Linked DNA regions of Oryzias latipes. The protein of the gene in region 1 purifies or fractionates together with the protein of each later gene. This does not show direct contact. Links are inferred from orthologs where the notes say so. Each region holds a gene or a part of one and is shown on either strand. Other genes may lie near its edges.

Evidence for each region. Proteins that work in one complex are often made in the same cells at the same time.
Region 2: the proteins of utrn (region 1) and sntb2 purify together in Homo sapiens (affinity purification with mass spectrometry; 4 studies listed by BioGRID and IntAct, with this or other methods). This does not show direct contact. The link is inferred for Oryzias latipes from reciprocal best matches to the Homo sapiens genes UTRN and SNTB2.
Region 3: the proteins of utrn (region 1) and sntb1 purify together in Homo sapiens (affinity purification with mass spectrometry; 3 studies listed by BioGRID and IntAct, with this or other methods). This does not show direct contact. The link is inferred for Oryzias latipes from reciprocal best matches to the Homo sapiens genes UTRN and SNTB1.

The regions. Positions count from the first base shown.
Region 1 is NC_019882.2:8,810,748-8,814,465, reverse strand, and holds part of utrn (utrophin), read left to right. Parts: coding exon 1-62; intron 63-141; coding exon 142-285; intron 286-694; coding exon 695-832; intron 833-912; coding exon 913-1,005; intron 1,006-1,149; coding exon 1,150-1,320; intron 1,321-1,427; coding exon 1,428-1,600; intron 1,601-2,274; coding exon 2,275-2,425; intron 2,426-3,134; coding exon 3,135-3,310; intron 3,311-3,718.
Region 2 is NC_019864.2:27,643,380-27,647,097, forward strand, and holds part of sntb2 (beta-2-syntrophin), read left to right. Parts: intron 1-267; coding exon 268-490; intron 491-1,270; coding exon 1,271-1,481; intron 1,482-3,718. UniProt on the Homo sapiens protein: Adapter protein that binds to and probably organizes the subcellular localization of a variety of membrane proteins. May link various receptors to the actin cytoskeleton and the dystrophin glycoprotein complex.
Region 3 is NC_019874.2:10,562,681-10,566,398, forward strand, and holds part of sntb1 (beta-1-syntrophin), read right to left. Parts: intron 3,416-3,718; coding exon 3,298-3,415; intron 3,162-3,297; coding exon 3,072-3,161; intron 1,162-3,071; coding exon 1,025-1,161; intron 911-1,024; coding exon 714-910; intron 1-713. UniProt on the Homo sapiens protein: Adapter protein that binds to and probably organizes the subcellular localization of a variety of membrane proteins. May link various receptors to the actin cytoskeleton and the dystrophin glycoprotein complex.

The sequences.
Region 1 (3,718 bases):
TGATGGCCAGTCTTGAGAGTGAAGGTGTTCAGATATCTGCAAAGGAACCTCTTCTGGTACAAGTAAGTCTTATTTTGCTTGCCAAAAAAAAAAGATGACTAATAAGCCTTTACAAATATATTTTTATCTTCTTTTCTCAAGGTTGGACAGGAGACCCGTGCAGAAAGACCCCAGCTTCCTAAAACTGTGGTCCGAACTGAAATAAAGGAGCTTCGGGCAGAGCTTCAGGACACTCTGCAGACTCTGCAGCAGCAGGACACAGTAAACCTGCAGGATGATGAGAAGGTTTTTACTTTCTTCCAATGTTTGCCTGGACTTTAAACGGAAGCAAAGAATGTTTGACTTGGGTGTTTCCTTTTTCTTTTGTGGTTTTATTAGATTTGACTAAAGTTTATACAGTAAAAGCTGCTATCTGATAAGACTATTCCTATAGTAAATGTTTAAAGATTAGAGTTTATTCAAAGTTTATGTGATAAAAAAATTATAGTTTAACACATAAAAACGTTGAGTGACCCAAAGGGAGGTCATTGCACCTCCCAAACCGCATTTCTTATCTAAAATGTGTGAATTTATATCCTCAGTGATTTGGATATTTGCAGATTTGAACAGATTTCTCCTTTTTAATGTTTTTAACAGACGGGCTTCAAATAGCTTTATTGAAAAAACTAAACCCGGCTTTTTCCTCTTCCTTCAGATGGATGCAGAGAAAGCCAACATGGAAGAACTGCTAAGAAGAGGAGAAGAACTGCTGCAGCAAACCTCAGAAGAAGACGAGAGGGAGGAGCTGCGGGTGATGCTGCTCCGGCTGCAGAGCCAATATTCTGCTCACAGGGTGAGACTCAGTTGTTTTCTCAAGTAACAATGCCTGTTAAGGACAAGCCTAAAGAAAACGGAGTTGTGTTTGGGCTTTAGGAGCTGATGATGCGGCGTTTCGTTGAGATGAAAGGGCCTTTAGAGGCGCCATCTTCTCACTTTGAGGAGAGAACATCAGAGCTGTCAGCTCAGGTGAGGGACTAAACAAGTATTTACTTAGGATGGTTTGGGTCTTTCTGAGAGGGATTTGGTCAAATATTTTTGGTGGTTTTGCAGGTGCAGATTCTTTTCACAGTATTTTGGACGTCAAGAACTTTTCTTCTTGTTTTGATGCAGGAGATGTCAGCATCAGGGCTCAGCAGCTCGCCGTCTCTGACTCCCTCAGACTACCTGTTGGAGATCAATAAAGTCCTCCTTGCTATGGCGGACAATGAGTTGCTCCTGAACTCCTCTGAGCTGAGCGGGGGCCTTTATGAAGACTTTTCCAGCCAGGAGGACACACTCCAGGTGCAACAAACACAAGCTGCTAAAACACACCTTATTCTAAAGATGTCACATAAATGTAGAATTTGCATGAACTTTTGTCGAGTGACTTTCGTTTGCTCGTCTTTTAGATTATCCAGGAGAGTCTGGAGAATCTGGGCGATAAGGTCACGGGGATCCACGAGCGGCACCCCGACGTCATCCAGGAAGCTTCTCATGCTGAAGCCGCACAGATCGGGGACGCTCTGGCACAGCTTGACGCAGAGTGGGATAGACTCAACCGCATGTACAATCATCGCAAAGGGTACCTGGACATAATTCATATGCAGACGCAATAATGGGAGATTTGGTGCAGATTCGAACTTGGATCGATGTTTTACAGAAAAAGGAAAAAAAAACAGTTTCCACTTTTATTAACTTGACAAATACTAGATATTCTGCACAATGAATAACATATGTTGAAAATGATATTTTTTATTTTCTTTCATTTTTTGCATTAATTTTTAAATTATTTCTTTCTATATTTTTTAGTGTGCAATCAAGATTTCTTTCATGGTAATGGTAAAGGAAAAACGGATAAAACAGACCATAAAAAGAAATGGAAGCATAGAAAAGTTAATCATACATTTCTTCCCCATTTTTTTCTTTTATAAGTCACTAGATATTACAATATTATAAATGTCATTTGTTTATTTTGTTTGAAACAAACATCAAAGGGCTCCTATTTATGCAGGTTAACATGAATAAAGATGTACAATCTTTTTTTTTTTTCTGGCATTCAAACCAAATAAAAATATAAAATGCAAAAACAAAACTTTATCAATGTCCCTTTAAATATAGAATTGTAAATGCCACAACCATTAATATACCGTTCATTTTATAAAGTCCTGAAATTATCTTTTTTTTTAATTTAAACTTAACAGTTAATACTTTTAGTCTAATCTGGATGAAATGTTAGTTATCTATGTTGTTTTGCAGGAGCTTTGACCGAGCTGTAGAGGAGTGGGAACAGTTTCACTGCGACTTAAAGGAGCTTTCTCAGTGGCTGACGGATGCAGAGACGCTTCTGTCTGAGGGCATGGGCGCCGATGGACCGCCGGACCTGAAATCTGCCCGGCAACAGCAAGCGGTCAGTACTTTCTGGTGCAGCGTTTGGATTTAAATGTATGCATTTTACTGGTTATTGGGATGCAGATTTTTTCCACATTTGTCTTGATAAATTCTTACTTATTGAAAGCATTTCTCTGCAAAGTGAAAACTTTAAGGTATGGGTAGATCCAGACCATGATTGCTTGTCATTTTCTGGGGAGAAATAAATGGGCCCTGTGCTGTACCTCATAAACACTCAACACATAAAGCGATCGATTAGAGAGCGCAAAAATGATGAGCAGTGCGGGGAGAGATCAGAAGGGACTTTTTAATTTAGTTTTGTTTGATTGCTAAAGTGGCATTTTGATTGCTGTGGGAAGTTCAAATCGGTGAAGCTGCTGCATCATCGCTGACCTCCTCCATCAGTGTGATTTGCGATGCTCTCCTAACCGCAGTACTCGCACAGGGTTTCACGGCTACTAAGAAGCAGTCGACGGATCAGAGTCGAGGGGAATTGAGGGATCTATTAGCTGACTCACGGTGTGTGGGACTCCACAATCATTCACCTTAACGCATCTGTTCTGGCTCACTAAATCTCTCAAAGTGGAAGGTAGCAGTTTGGAATCCTAAATATCGGCTGCGTGCAAATTATGTTGAGGTGTAAATAAGAAATGTGCTTGGAGAGATTTGAATTAGAGAGGAAAAATGATTAATTTGGTGTAATTTATTCTTTCTGCCTTCCATGTTAGGAGTTGGAGGAAGGCCTTGCCAGCCATCAGGCGGTTCTTTCTGGACTGAACCGCACCGGGAAGCAGATAATTGGAAAGCTTTCATCTCCTGATGGATCGCTGCTTGAAGACAAGTTAGAAACTCTGGGTCAGCGGTGGAGAGCAGTGCAGCAACAATTCTCAGACAGGCAGCGCAGGTAAGCATGGAAAAACAAAATCATAAATCATAAAATAGAACAATAAAGTCCTGCGATAAAAGTTAATTAAACAGCTGTTTATGTAGAAATAAATCAACGCTGCATAGGGGTAAACGATGGGTGTAAAACTTTATATTTTATTTGAATTATGTGAATTTAATTAAATACACAAAAGGTATTTTTTTGCAGATGATACTGATTTGCATGGCTTTGGAAGAAAACTTTTTGTGTGCATTTTAGCTAAATGTAATATATAAGTTGGCCTAAATTTCTCCTTATATTCCCCAAATAATTCAGAAAAAGGAAATATTTAAAACTGGTTTAGGTTGAAATCAGATTGAAAACATGCAAGCGATTGAGAATGTGGCCCTTGTAATTCATCATAAATAGCCCATTTGGAAATAATAA
Region 2 (3,718 bases), on another chromosome or scaffold:
ACGAAGCTCCAGGTTTACTCTGATTCACAGACATGTGCCTCTAAACAGGACCCTGGCAGCAAGAATACATGGCTTTGATGGCAGAACTCTCAGAACCACTGAGAAAATCAATGCCCCCAGCGGGTCTCTCACAAATTCTGCTCCTGATTCATGAAGAAAATACTCAGAAAAGTCATTTTCAGTGTATTTTCTTTATATATGGCCTCCATCATCAAAAAAATGCCACAAAAACACAATTTTTATCAATGGGTCTCCTTCTCTCCGCAGTGAAGTACATTCGTGAGGTGTCTCCGCTCTTCAAGAAACCGTCGCTGGTCGCAGACCTGCCGTGGGACGGCGTCCGCCCGCAGTCGCCCAGCTACAGCGGCAGCGAGGACTCGGGCTCTCCTAAACACAGCAGCTCCTCCTCCCCGTCCAAAGACAGGAAGGTCATCAGCCTGAAGATGTGCTTCATCAGCCGGAACCTCTCCATGCCGGATTTGGAAAACAGGTCCGGCGCTGCACACACATACCTGGGCGTGTGGGAGGTTAGGTGTGGTCTTTGTGGTGGGTTTGTGGCCATTTCCTGTTCATTCCTCTGGAATGTTTGCTCTTTAGGGAGCTCTGTGCAGCGGTCTATGAACTAAAACTGATGGGTCACATTCTGTAAAACATCTGCATTAGCAGCATCTGTCATCCGTTAAATAATGAAGCAGAAAAGCCTTAGTCATAAAAAATGCAATAACCTGGAATTTGGTTCATTTGCACACAAGAGACTTTCTTCATCTTTCTATTTTAGGTTTCCTGTCTGCTTTTATACGCCTGCCCTAAAAAATCACCTTGAAAAAAATCGTCATGGTGGAAATTAACCTTTCCCAAGACTCATAAAGGAGTTGGTTGTTCTCTCCCCTATATGTTTTAATTAATTAAAAAAAGTATCCCTTTTATTGACTGTATTCAAAGTGAAAACTGTCCCTTCTTTGAGACCTGGTTATCAGGTTATCAGTACAATAAGGAATCACGGAAAAGATTAAAAATGTTGAAAATGTACTGACAAAATGCTTTAAATATGAATTTCAAAGAAAAAAGATGCTCAATTTGAGGGAAATGTGTCCAAAAATAAACAAATGAATGGACAGAAACAAACTTCATTTCAGAATATGACAGATTTACTGATGTTGAGTAGTAAAAAATGAGAGATTCTGGTCAAGCCACCAGTTTTCCTTGTGTCTCTTTTCTTAATGAGAGCTGGATTTGGTGTCAGATCTTCCTTCGTTCTGGTTGCATTCAGGCTGCTGGAGCTCCACTCCCCGGACGGCCAGCACACGGTGGTCCTGCGCTGCAAAGACGGCCCCTCTGCCAGCTCCTGGTTCACCGCCATCCACACCAACATCGCCGCGCTGCTCCCACACACCCTGGCGCACATCAACGCGTACCTGGGGGCGTCGTCTGCCGCCCCCACTCACCCCCACCTCAAACACATCGGCTGGCTGGCTGAGCAGGTACATTTCTGTGAGATGCAGTCCGTGGTGCGTTTAGGACCAGGCAATGTTTTGCACACAAGACCCAGTGATGTGGTGCGTTAAGGACCAGGTGATCTGGTGCCTTTTTAAGCATCCTGATATTTTCTTGTCATTATACATGTCGGTATTGCAAAGAATTTCTCTAAAACAGGGGTCCCCAAACTACGGCCCACAGGCTGAACCGGCCCGCCCACCTATTTGACCCCGCCCCCTGAACAATACTAGAGAGAGACCCTTTATTTATTTTGGCATCATTATTTCTTTAGGCTGGCCACATGCTCGAGACTCATGGAAGCGTGGAAAACTGAATCGTTTTGGAATTGTTTCCTCACGTCGATAAGGCTTAACCCTTGTGCTATCCTAGGCACTTTAACTTTGAGAGTTGGGTCATCTAGATCCACTAGACTGAACCTTTTTGCTTCAATGATTTGTGATCTTCACTGGTGTCCGTGGATTAGATGAAATCCTCTCCACCTTTATCCACCTTTGTCATGGTAGGGAGAACACGTCAACGTAAGGCTCGGGTCATCTGGACCCCATAGGATAGCACAAGGGTTATTCAAATTGAAATGTGAGCCAAGCTAAAAATGTGGCTACTGCAACCTCACTTTGCCCCAGTCATAAAACGTGAATGTGGACCCCCCCTCCCCATGGATAAATGACAAAAAGGTTAGGTAATTGAAACACTGATCCAGAATGCAGGTATTTAAACTAGGAAGTTGATCAGAGAGAACATACAGTGGTGTCTACTAGACTAACCTCCTAAAAAAAACTCCAAAATGGATTATGGGGAAAGAACACAACAACTTTAAGAGATTCTGCTCTTACAACTGAAGTTGAACATTTACCTAAATTTGTGCATGGACAACAGAAACTTTATTTCTGAACAACCCACAGAGATTTATTTGGTTATTATTGATTTTCTAAAATCTAAAATACTGTTGCTTAATATTTCCTGACTTTTTATTTAAAGAATTCTGTTTTTTAACTGATTTCATAAAGAGTCTCATTATATATATTTGCTGATTATTATAATTTATTTATTTATTTGGTGAATAACCCAGAGAGGATTATTTGATATCAGATTGGGTTATCAACATTTGGTTATGTGTGGCTTTCAGTTGACATTTTGGCCCCCCTGCGACTGTCACACGTTTTCTGTTTCAAACTGACCCTGGCCCCCGATCCGAGAACGGAAACGTCATGTGGCCCTCGCTGGAAAAAGTTTGGGGACCCCTGCTCTAAAGTGTGTTAACATGAAAGTAGACCTTAAAACTGCATGAAAAACACATCAAAGCTTCATTTTCTGACACTTGTTTCTGCTTTAAAACACTAAAAACAACACAGCTCCTTCCCCTGTGGCAACTCAGCATTTAGCAGCGGCAAAACCCCAAAACGATTACCGGTAGTCAGAATCTGCTGGGAAAATGTTGAACCCTTTGACGCCTGAATCTGTTTCCAGCGATGAAAGAAAAATTGTCACTTTTGTTTTTTCTTTCGAGTCCTAAATGAAGGTAAGTTTGGAGCAGTAGTGGATTGATGGATATCGAGGGGTTAAAAAGTAATTAAAGTAAAGTAAATTTTCTCTGCATGAAGGTTAGATTGGATCATTTAAAAAACCAAAGGCAGTGACCACAAAGGGAGGCTATAGAAGTGACCAAAAACAAGGAACAGAGCAAAAGTTGGGTTAATTTACTGAACAGAGGGGTGGGAGTTGTTTATTTTAGGGACTTTCTTGATTAATGTTATTCAGTTAGTTTCATTTTGCCCCTCTGTGCAAACGACAAAACTTGTTTTTTTCTCTACTTTCAGTGAAAAACATTTATTAAACTAAAATCTGCACTTTTGCCTGTTCTACCATCCTTCAGAAAGGGAAAATATTTTAAACTGCCTTAAAAATGTTTTTTTTAAACTTGATAATTTAGTTAAAATTGGCAAAACATTAACTTTTTATCTCAAGATTTAAATGGAATTCTTCACTATAATATAATGTTTGTTTAGCAACTAAAAATCAGTTCAGGATTTAAATCCGTTTCCCAATCATTTTCACCTCTGAGACAACATTGTTCCCCCATTAATTTGCAAATGTTTAAGCATTTATTCCAAAACATATATATTATTTTTTAATTTGTAATTTATTTTGAATCATGTTTTAAGCATAGGAGCCACTTTATGAAGATATATTTGAGTTCAAAGGGATAAAAAGTGTTGATTTA
Region 3 (3,718 bases), on another chromosome or scaffold:
AACGATTTGATTCAATCCATATTTGTGGTTGACAATCCGATACACTGACATAAGATAGATTCAGGATATCTTTAGCCAAAAATTCCACCATCGTGACTCAGAGATAAATAGCATGTTTCATAGAAGTAAGACAACTAGATCAGTTGATGGAGATGCATTTAAAGAGGCTACAATAATAATCAAGATTTCTACACAACACTTGCAACAAGGAAATAGTGCTGAAGATAAATTTAGCAATGAAGACCAGCTGTTTTATAAAGAACATGAGAAGAAGCTAAGGTGAAACTTAACTTGGCACAAAGAAAGAGGAGAGAGACCCTGAGGAGAGAAGTGGTTCCCTGGATACGGAAAAAAAAAAAGGGGGGAAGAAGGGGAGGTATTACGCTGGAATTCCCAAAACGACCAATTCTCAGTGCCAAACAGCACACACAAAAAGTTTTCCTCTAAGAATAGCAAGCCTTTGCGCCCACGTCTTCCATATGGCCCTCAGATTACATCACAAACCCTCTCCTGGATGCAGGGCCCCCCGCTTGCATGTGCACCACAGCTTTATGTTGTGGCTTCACCTGCATTCCTTATGACCGCAGAAAAGCAATCTAAAACAAATCTCTGCTACTTCCACATCAACGCGACAGATTTCGTATTTCAGTGTGCATGGTTAAATGGAGGTATTGCCAAACCTCAATGGGACTGTCTCAGATGATGCCACTCACTTGTTGTGACTTCTTTAATCATCTCGGCTGAAGCATGACATGCGTTGACTATCTGTCTGGTCCACATGGACAGATCCTTAGTGGTTTCAGCTCGGAAAATATGAGTTTCAATGCCGAGTCTGGTGCCAGTCCGAGTGGCGAAGCACAGCTCTGTACCAGAGCGAGGCGATCCCCGATCAGGACCCGACTGGACCAGCCTACACGACAATTTGCACAAAAGCAAGCAGAAGGAAGAATAATTGTTGTTCTGACATTTGAAGCAGTTAACACACTACACAGATCCATAACTTATTTGCACATGGATTACCTACCGTGTTGCTAAAAGTGGAAAAATGTGTGCAGGGTTCTGCCAGGCCTCTTTGCCTCGTGGCAAACAGTCGTACAGTAACAGGTCCTTCTCTGTCATCACCACAAAAACGGGCTTCCAGCACTGCTTCTCGCTCTCCGTCTGTGGCATAAACACACACAAAAAAACAATAAAACAGGAGCTACTGCAGCCATACAATTCAAGTTATAACAATAGGGTTTGCTTAAAAGGACACATTTACAGGGACTAATAACAAACAAAACAACCCCTGTGCCATGTCAGGGGTTAAATGTGTTAAATAAAGTTCCCCTTTGTTTGCCTTGCTTAAGACAAGAGTCAGAAAAATTATTTAAAAGAAAATTCCTTAAAAACCTGCAGAAAACCGCAAAACACAATGGATCAACTTAACTTTAAGCAGCTAGTTTACTCCATTCTTCCCAAATGTGAGGTAAAAACTTCCTTTCCAACAGTTAATCTGTCTCAGCACATTTTCTGTGTGGGTATTCAGCGAGTAAAAGCCTTTATTTTGAGTCCAAAACCAAAATGTCGAGATTCTCTTTTATGTATCCTGCAGGGACTGAGCTAAAATAAAATGTAATTGGTGTGCAAAAGCAGGTACATTCTTTATGTATTCAACCCCCCCCCCCCCCCCCCTTACCCACTCCTCTCTACAACCCTCTCACTAAAGGACACGCACACACCCGCACATCGACACGATTCATGTGAATTTTATGTGACTATGCTCCAGAACGGTTCTCATTATGGTAGATTATCTGCAGCCGAGCCATGGGATCCTAAGCTGCTCTTTGAAGTTCTGTCTCTACCAATCATACTGTGGGATTCGGAGGGTCAAAGGTTACCTTTTTAACATAACATAAGTTATAAGTTGCTAAGTAACACGACAGTATTGTATTTCATGTGGAGGATCAAATATTTGGCAAATTCACTGTGCTTAATTTAGAAAGACGTAGACATGTTTTTGCTCAGGTGGTTGAGTGTAAAAGAGGGGGAAGTTTACTTTTGGCTGTGTGTGTGTGTGTTTGTGCATGTGTGTGCACGCTTCTGTGAATTTTGCATACAAGCACAAAAGCAAGACCGTGTTCTTGACATGCAAAGATAAACATAGGGTTGAAAGGCAAAGGCAGTCTAACGGTAAAAAAAAATCAAAGGGTGTTAAAGCAAACATTTGATGAATTTCACTATAGAATTTTCTGTTTATTTGTTATAGTGGCTAAAACACCACTTTAACGTAGTGCCTGATGTGAATTGCTTGGACAACATTGTCCTGTCTAAACTGAGCAAGCCTGGTTTAATCATTATACTGTACCCTCAAGAGTTTCATCAATGTTGTCAAACCAATAAAGTAGGAAAAAAAGCTGCAGGATTCATAATCTCCATAAGTATGTAAAAAAGGAACAAAACCTATGACCGTTTGCTGGAAAAATAAGCTCATTATGCGACAGATATGCATCACCGCCAACACAATCCCCACAAAAAGGGGGGAAATGTGGCAGCTTCAGGCACACAGTTGTTTTATTTTGTTTCAGATGACTTTATTAAAAATATTGATTATAATTCTTGCACAATTATTCATCTTCCTCCGTTTGTCCCTTTCGGGGTCACGGGGTTGCCGGAGCCTATCCCGGACACTTATGGGCAAAGGCAGGGGACGCCTTAGACAGGGTCACACATATCACATGCACACTCACATTCACACCTATGGACAATTTAGAGTGACCAATTAACCTTTGAAGCATGTTTTTGGATGGAGGGAGGAAGCCGGAGTCCCCGGAGAGAACCCACGCATGCACAGGGAGAACATGCAAACTCCACACAGAAAGGCAGGACTTGAACCAGGGGCCTTCTTGCTGTGAGGCAAGAGCGCTAACCACTGTGCCATCGTGCAGCCTCTTGTGCAATTATAATCAATATTTTAAAAACTTCTGTGACCGCAATAAGTACTGTTATTGGGATTCAAATACAACCCCTTAAAGTATTGCTATGCACATTGGACAGATATCCTAGTTGACAACACAAAGACGCATTCCTACCTTCCCTGCCAGCCAGCCCAGGTGCCGTATCTCTTTGCTGCCAGCGATCCCGGTCCTGGATGTGTTTTGGATGACCTCTGCTAGAACCCTCTGAGTACGGTAACAGTCCACATTATCTTTTGTCAAGCAGAACAATGAAAACAGTTCCTAGAAGCTGAATAATGGCAGCCGACAAATTTAATTCATGCTGATGATGAGATTTTTCTTTACAAAATCGGTCTCAGACCTGCGTCAGCGTTGAGAGGACAGAGTGTATGGCAGCAAACCAGGACAGGGCAGATGGTTGGTCTGGGCACCGCAGCACCACGGTGTGCCTGGCATCAGGAGAATGCAGCTCCAGTTGTCTGGAGGAAAACAAAACAAAACAAGATATTTTACTTCTCAAAGATCAGTAACAAAGTTTCTACGGAAAAGATATTTCAAATGACCAAATATAATCAAATTATGTCATTTAACTCGTATTTTGTCTCAACTAATACTTTTTTCATAACAAATGTATCAATTGAGGCTTTAATTTTTACAGATGCACCAGTTCTTATCCAATATTTTTAGTGAGAAGGATGAACTAAGGTGTTCTAAAATCTGAGATGGTACAAGTAGAGAGTAGGAAGATTTGCTCACACATTCTGTGTGGGTCTATCATGACG